Oryctolagus cuniculus: one gene and its partner. The protein of the gene in region 2 binds, or shares a complex with, the protein of the main gene of each other region. Links are inferred from orthologs where the notes say so. Each region holds a gene or a part of one and is shown on either strand. Other genes may lie near its edges.

Region 1 (4,127 bases), on a different chromosome or scaffold from region 2:
TAAACTCTGACTTATTAATCTCATGGTTTAGTAAATAGCACCCATTTTACAGTCATACTTTTAATGACTACGAGTACCCACCATGCTATCATCCTTTCCAGCACCCATTTCTTTCTTTCTTTTAGAAGTTTATTTTTGTATAGAAATCCCTCTATTGGCTTCTTTTTTTTTTTTTTTTAAGATTTATTTATTTATTTTAAAGTCAGAGTTACACAGAGAGGAAAGGCAGACAGAGCAAGGTCTTCCATCCAATGATTCACTCCCCAATTGACCGCAACCGCTGCAACGACTGGAGCTGCACCAAACAGAAGCCAGGAGCCAAGAGCTTCTTCCGGGTCACCCACGTGGGTGCAGCTACCCAAGGACTTGGGCCATCTTCTACTGCTTTCCCAGGCCTTAGCGGAGCGCTGGATCAGAAGAGGAGCAGCCGGGTCTTGAACCGGAGCCCATACGGGATGCCGGCGCTTTAGGCCAGGGCGTTAACCCACTGCGCCGCGGCGCTGGTCTCTCTTTCCTTTTAATATTTATTTATTTGAAAGGAAGAGTTTGGAAGCCGGGAGTCAGGAGTTTCTTCCAGGGCTCTCAGTGGGGGTGCTGGGGCCCAGGCACTTGGGCCATTTTCCGCTGCTTTTCCTGGCGCATTAGCAGGGAGCCAGACAGGAAGTGGAGCAGCAGGGACTGGAACCAGAGTCCGTTTGGGATGCCGGCGCTGCAGGCGGCGGCTTTACCCGCTATGTCACAGCACCGACCCCATCAGCACCCATTTCTTTTTTTTATTATTATTATTTTTATTTTTTTTACTTTTTGACAGGCAGAGTGGACAGTGAGAGACAGAGAAAGGTCTTCCTTTGCCATTGGTTCACCCTCCAATGGCCGCCGCGGCCGGCGCACCGCGCTGATCCGATGGCAGGAGCCAGGTGCTTCTCCTGGTCTCCCATGGGGTGCAGGGCCCAAGCACTTGGGCCATCCTCCACTGCACTCCCGGGCCACAGCAGAGAGCTGGCCTGGAAGAGGGGCAACCGGGACAGAATCCGGCGCCCCAACCGGGACTAGAACCCGGTGTGCCGGCGCCGCTAGGCGGAGGATTAGCCTAATGAGCCGCGGCGCCAGCACCCATTTCTATTCCAGAAGAATAATCCCTGGCTTCTGAATACCCGACTTGAGGTAATACATACAGTCCTGGACGTCAGTGGCGAGAGGCTGCGTTACTAAAAGCGTTGCTTAGCACCCGTAATTTCCGGGGACGAGCCAAGGCGAAAACCCGTAACCAAGGCAACAGACCGTGAGCCTATCAAAAATGGGCGCCAGCTCCGCGGCGGGGGTCGTCCCAGGAAGTGGCGTCACGCGCAGTTTCCGGTTCCGCCTGGAGCGACGCTCGCGGCTGTCTCCGGTTACCGCGAGGTGCACGTGTGTTTTCTTGGCTTGGCCGCGGTAGCAATGGACCCTTTGGATCGGATAGTGTACGTGCGCTGAGTCCTCGTCCCGGGGAAGTCGAGGACAGGGGCTCTGGTGACGGGCGTGGTACCCTTCTGCTTCCTTCTCTTCCTGGCTGTCGCTCCTGCCCGACGCCGCTTCCCAGTCGTTCCTGGTGGCGGCAGATCACCCTCTCCCGTGCCACCTGTCGGAGACGTAGCAGGGAAGCCCACCAGGGGACCCGCGGGATGGGCGCTGGGACTCAGGCGTTGGCCGCTTTTGTGCTAGCATTTAAAAATCCGCTGGCTTCCCGAGCGGTTAAAAGCACAGACCTCGGAGCCTGACAGATCTGGGCGACGCTGCGGGTGTATCCAGAGTTTGAGCACTTGGGTGTTAACGTAAATCTTGTAAAGTTCAGTTTATTCTGTAAAAAGAGCTTTCATGACAGTCCATCGTAGAGCTGTGAGGGTGGGTTGTGGAACACATATTTAGCAGTATTAAATACGTGTATTTATTACTAGCTCCCTAAAAAGTGAGTTTTGTTTAGTGCTGGAAACCTAACCCGACAATATATTAGGATAATGTCTGTTGAGTTTTAAGAATTTGCACATTAGTCAAGCCATGCTTTTGCAGTGTGAAGAAAATGTTTAAACTGTTGTGCATTATTTTCTGAACAGAAAGCCCAAAACAAAACGGGCCAAGAGATTCCTTGAGAAGAGAGAACCGAAGCTGAATGAAAATATTAAAAATGCCATGCTGATTAAAGGGGGCAACGCAAATGCAACAGTAACACAAGTGCTTAGAGATGTGGTATGTATGTGTACTTATTGTTTACTTATATTCTTTTTTAATTTTTGTGTTTATTTGAGAGGCAGAGTGAGAGAGAGAGGTGGAGCTAGCGCCCTGTCTTACTTCTTAAATGCCTGTGTGATCAGGCTGAAGCCAGGGGCTGGAAACTCAGTCCTGGTGTCCCATGTAGGTGGCAGGAACCCTGTGCCTGAACCATCGCCGTGTCTTCCCGGGTCTGCAGTAGCTGAGAGCTGGGGTCAGGAGCTGGGGCTTGGTGTTGACCCAGGTACTCTGGTGTGGGAAACGGATATCTCAGCCGTATCTTCACTGTTAGACTGAACGTGCACCCTATGCTTACATTTAAGTGGTATTGAATTGTCTTAGAAACTTTCAGGAAATTAGATTGCTGCTGGAGGAGAATGTTGGTACATGTTTCCTTCCTGAACCTACTGGCCTTAGAGAAGAGCTGAAGTTGGAGATTATTTGCCCTCCCCAAGGCCCTGACTACTGGTTTGCCTTAAAGCAGCTGGTTCCCTTAGTAAACTTAAACTGGTTTTCAGTTCTGGAATTTGGTTTACCCACATTTTAGGAAGATATCTATTTTATATAAAGTGAAATAATCGCATGTTATTGTATAATTTATATGTTCTACAATACCAGTTACTGTACTAGGTGCTGGGAATTATAAATTAGGTAAGACACAGTCTGGGACCAATGCTCTGGTATAAAAGCCGCTGCCTGCAGTGCTGGCATCCCATATGGGCGCTGGTTCAAGTCCCAGCTGCTCCAGTTCTGATCCAGCTCTCTGCTATGGCCTGGGAAAGCAGTAGAATACCCCACCCCCCATGGGAGACCCAGAAGAAGCTCCTGACTTCAGATCAGTGCAACTCTGGCCATTGCAGCCAATTGAAGTGTGAACCAGTGGATGGTAGACCCCTCCCTCCCTCCCTCCCTCCTTCTCTCTCTCTCTCTCTCTCTCTCTCTCTCTCTCCTCCTTCTCTCTCTGTGTAACTCTGACTTTCAAATAAATGAATAAATTAAAAAAAAAAAAGACACAGTCCCTCTCTTTAGTGAGCTTAGTTAGACAGGGGCAGGATTGTGGTGTTGTGGAATTGTCATGGTTGGTGGGCAGTAACTGAGCCAAGGAACTGTAGAATCTGCTGCTTACCAAAAGGGGGAGGCAGAGAAAGAGAGAGAGAGAATGGAGAGACAGAGATCTTCCATCTGCTGGTTCATTCCCCAAATGGCTGCAACGGCCAGGACTGGGCCAGGCCAAAGCTAGGAGCCAGGAGCTCCATCTGTGTCTTCCTTATGGGTGACAGGGACTCAAGTACTTGGGCCATCTTCCACTGCTTCATCAGGCGTATTAGCAGGGAGCTGGATCAGAAGCGAAGCAGCCAGTATTCGGACTGATGCTCTAATATGGGATACCATAGTCATAGGCAGTGGCTTAACTTGCTGCGCCACAGTGCTGGCCCCAATAAGGCAGTTTTTAATGTGGAAAAAAAAAATTGGACATGTTGTAAATTAAGTGCTGTGCTGGAGGCATGCATATGGTAGAATCGGACAGTTAAAGGCGCACTGCAGGGGTCCCACACACAAGGCGGGCCTCCCAGCCATCACACTTAACCTTCATTTGGAAGGAGTTGGAGCAAGAAGTGGAAGTGGATGAGAGGGGCTTTTAAACTGAGGAAGGAGCTTGTGCCAGGGCAGGTGTGAGGGGCGTAAGCATGTGGAGGACAGCTCTCCGGACTGGCCGAAGGGAAGCTGGCCTGTTGAAGCTAAAGGAGGAGGCAGCAGTCCCACAGTAACAGAAAAACTGTGGAGTGACCGAAAGATTGGAGTTGAGCCATCTGAGCAGTTCTTTTAATTGCCTTGATTAGAGACGACTGAGAGCAAAGTAAGAAATGGAAGCTGTTGCAGTC
Region 2 (3,511 bases):
TTTGCCCAGACGTTAGCCAATGTTTGGAGACATTTTTGGTTGTTACAGGAGGTAAGAACTGTGGCTTGCATGCCGTGGGTTCAGGCCAGGGACACTGCTGACTATCCTGCTATGCACAGGACACCCCCACAACCAAGAATTGTGCAGGCCCCAGTGTCGGTAGTCCCTAGAGTGAGAAGCCGCGCTGCGGAGGGTCCCGGGGACTGTCCTAGAAGGGCAGTACTGCAGCGCTGCTGGGAGCACTGACTCGGAGCCAGGATGCCTGCCCTTGAAGCCCAGCTGTGTGCATTCTCGCTGCACCCTTCAGCAACCAGGGTGCCCCCTGTGCCTGCCTTCCCTCAGGGATGAGAGTTTATCTCAGGTTTGCTGTGGGGATTACTGACTTACTATGTGTAACACACTTACAATTGTGCCTGACAAGGCACTGTGTAAATTTTAGCTCTTACACTTTATCTTTCTTTGCCTTCTTTGTCTTTTATCTCATTAGGTCAAATGTTTTGTCCAAAATGTTTTGTATTGATTTTGTACTTTCATGTAAAATGTGAATTGCTTTATCTCGAATTTTCACGGTGACTCGGGGAAACCTTCTCTGTATTTCTTGCCAGAAGGCAAGCAGGGTTGTGGGAATTGTTCAGCTTCTGAAAACTTGATGGGCTTGTTAACCACTATAATTGCTGATGTTTAGTTTTTTTGACTCTTCAGTATCATTAGCCTTTTTGTTTAATTATTCTTTGCTAATCATGATGTTTGGTTACAGTGTAGTGCTGGACTGGATTCAAATGAAATGTCGCCACAGGAGAAAAAAGATCAGAACAGAAATTCTGTTGAGAACATAGCCAATGAGGCGGTGAACGTGCTGTGGAATATATGGTAAGATGCTTGCCAAGCACAGCTCCTGCTACAGCGCTGCCCAGGCTGCTGCTTTCTGTTCAGCTGTGTAGCGGTCTCTGTTCTCCTGGGGAGGCCTGTCTCAGTGAGGGTGGTAGTTGGTAGGAGGTAGTATCAGGTGACCTGGGGTGAACCATCTTTGAGGCCCCTTCCTCATAGTTTCGTTCCTTTTTAAAGACAGTTCTTTCCAGTTATTGCCACTGATAAAAATATGATGGATCATACCATTAACACCTCCTGTTCCTGCTTTGTCCCCCACACCGTCCACATACCTAGGCAGCAGTTGTCTTAAACCTTGTTAAACCCCGGTGCAGTAGCAGCGTTGGTTTGGCACTGGAATGAGACAAGGACCACAGGTCTTGGCTGGTACTGATTCCCCTTCCCTGGCTGTTATCATTGGGGTGGGCAGTGGGTGCCCAAGGTGAGGTCCATTGACCCTAGTAGGAAGGAGGCCACTCTCCTTTCCTGATTGTAGCAGTGGTGAGGGGGGAGTGGCTAGAAACATGACCTGGCTTTACTTTTTTCCGTCTCATTTTATGTCCCACAGTCGTAGCACGATTCCAGCATGAGTCCTCATTTTCAGTCAGTGGTTATAGTGGCTGATGGCAGAGCGCAGGTGTCCCTAGAATACAGAATTGTGTTGGATCCTGTAAAGCTGCCTCCCGGCCAGTCTGCACGTGCCTGTGCTTGCATCGTGGGCTGGTGGACGCCTTCCACCAGCTGTGCCGGAGAGACCCTCTGTGGAGAAGTGGGATCTGAGCAGACTGCTGGGTGCTGTGCACCACATACCTTAATTGGGTCCATTGGCAAATTTTGGAAATTAAAAAAAAATTATTTGGAAACAGTCCTAACCTAATATATTTCCAAGATTTCTCTTTCCTGAATGCCTATGAGTCTTACATTTTTGTTTCATACTTGATAATTCAAACTACCTTCACATATGTATGTCTGGGCTGTTTCAGTGCCGCATTAACAGATTGCAGAAAGTGTTTTTCTTCAGGTAACAAACTGAATAATTGGGTCAGATCTGTTAGCTGTTAGTGCCCATGTGTGTATGCAGTATGGATGGAGAGACACCTTTCTCTAGAAACATGATGCAGTTACCATAGTTACGGTGTGTGCTAGTTAATAACTGACAGCTTGCTTAGTCTTATTAAAAGAAAGTGTGATTTCAAAAAGAATTATTGTAGTGATCTCTCTGCAAACTGTAAATCCTCCTTGATGAGATGACAGTTGCAGTCAGGGAGGAATGAATAACATGTTTTATTTCCTCTTGCACTTTGTGTGGTAAGTCTAGAGACTGTTTGTCCTAACTTTACCGTGCTGTTTCGGCACAGTGAAGAGAGCAGGAGGCTGGACCCAGGGAGCCCAGGTGCACTGGGCCTGCCTCTGCCTCTAACAGATAGTCTGATCTCCTCGTGGGCCACCTCACCCTTGGGGCCTGGGTGTTCTCATCTGTAAAATGGGGAGTTGAATTAACTGATTTCTAAGAGTTCTTCCCACTCTACCCCCTTCTACGGGGAAACGCATACGGTATAGATTGCCTTAAAGGCCCCCCATGATAGGAATAAGTTAAAGAAAGCCGGTTATCACATGTGCAGTGGCTGTGAATGGGCGTTCGTTTCTTCATCTATAGGCATGGTGGGTGTTTGACTCCAGCTCTTTGGTTCTGTAAAGCCTAATTTGTTTTTGTCATGGATTCCTGTGATTGATTTCCTAATGTTAAAATGTGACTAGTAAAACTCTTTTTCCCCCCTTCAATTTAGTGAATGCAGTAGTAGAGCAGTATCTATATTCAACAAAGAAGGGTGTTTGGAGATTGTATTAAAGTATTTAAGTAGATTTCCCACCAATGTTGACCTGGCTATCTCAGTAGGTAAGTGAAGAAAAAGTGATGATTTATTAAGTATGTGTAGTCTTATTCAAAAATTGTTATTCAGATCTAGTATGTTAATTCTACAGAAATGGTTTTTTTTTCTCATTGTATATATGAATTTAGCCAAGGAGTTCTGTTTGTTCTGAATCCTTTTCGGTCTGACTGGTACTTTTCCTCACTCAGAATTTTCCTGCTTTTTGCTCTGAATGGCAGAAAGGTAGCAATGTGAGGATATGTGGTTTCCAATCTATTACCATTCTTAGAATCTTGTGTTAATTTTTGATGTTTTCATTTTCATTTAAATATTAACACACAGCTACCAGGCCTTTGAGCCAGTTAATTGGAAGCTAATTGTACTTAAACGACTTGTACTGTTTTCTTACACTTCCATCAGAAAACTGATACCTTCAGTTTTTTGGAAGAAGAGAAGTGATTGAAATTTCACTTAGGCCTGTGTCCTCCCCATGGGAGGCATGGGAAGCAGGGACCTGCAGCTGAGCTGCCCTGGCTCCCTGGTCGTTTCTGGACGAGGGCAGGAAGCCTCTGAGACCCTTCGCTCGCCAGGCAGGAGGCAACGGTCTAGAGGGCGGGCAGCTTGGCAGAATTCTGGGCGAGAGCAGAGGAATCCGATGAAAAACATTTCTAGCCCTCGTGACGGCAGCCATCCGGCTGTCCTTTCACTTAACTGTGCGTCTCCCCGGCAAGGCAGGGACGCCTTCCTCCTACTAATGCTTCTCTTGGCTCCAG

What was found. The genes of interacting proteins can lie anywhere in the genome.
Region 1: HEATR3 (region 2) and RPF2 share a complex: the UniProt entries of both Homo sapiens proteins name them as parts of the hexameric 5S RNP precursor complex. The link is inferred for Oryctolagus cuniculus from reciprocal best matches to the Homo sapiens genes HEATR3 and RPF2.

Annotation. Positions count from the first base shown.
Region 1 is NC_091436.1:60,639,730-60,643,856, reverse strand, and holds the start of RPF2 (ribosome production factor 2 homolog), read left to right. Parts: upstream 1-1,324; 5' UTR 1,325-1,437; coding exon 1,438-1,460; intron 1,461-2,090; coding exon 2,091-2,223; intron 2,224-4,127. UniProt on the Homo sapiens protein: Involved in ribosomal large subunit assembly. May regulate the localization of the 5S RNP/5S ribonucleoprotein particle to the nucleolus.
Region 2 is NC_091449.1:33,667,389-33,670,899, forward strand, and holds part of HEATR3 (HEAT repeat-containing protein 3), read left to right. Parts: intron 1-757; coding exon 758-870; intron 871-2,654; coding exon 2,655-2,764; intron 2,765-3,511. UniProt on the Homo sapiens protein: Plays a role in ribosome biogenesis and in nuclear import of the 60S ribosomal protein L5/large ribosomal subunit protein uL18 (RPL5). Required for proper erythrocyte maturation.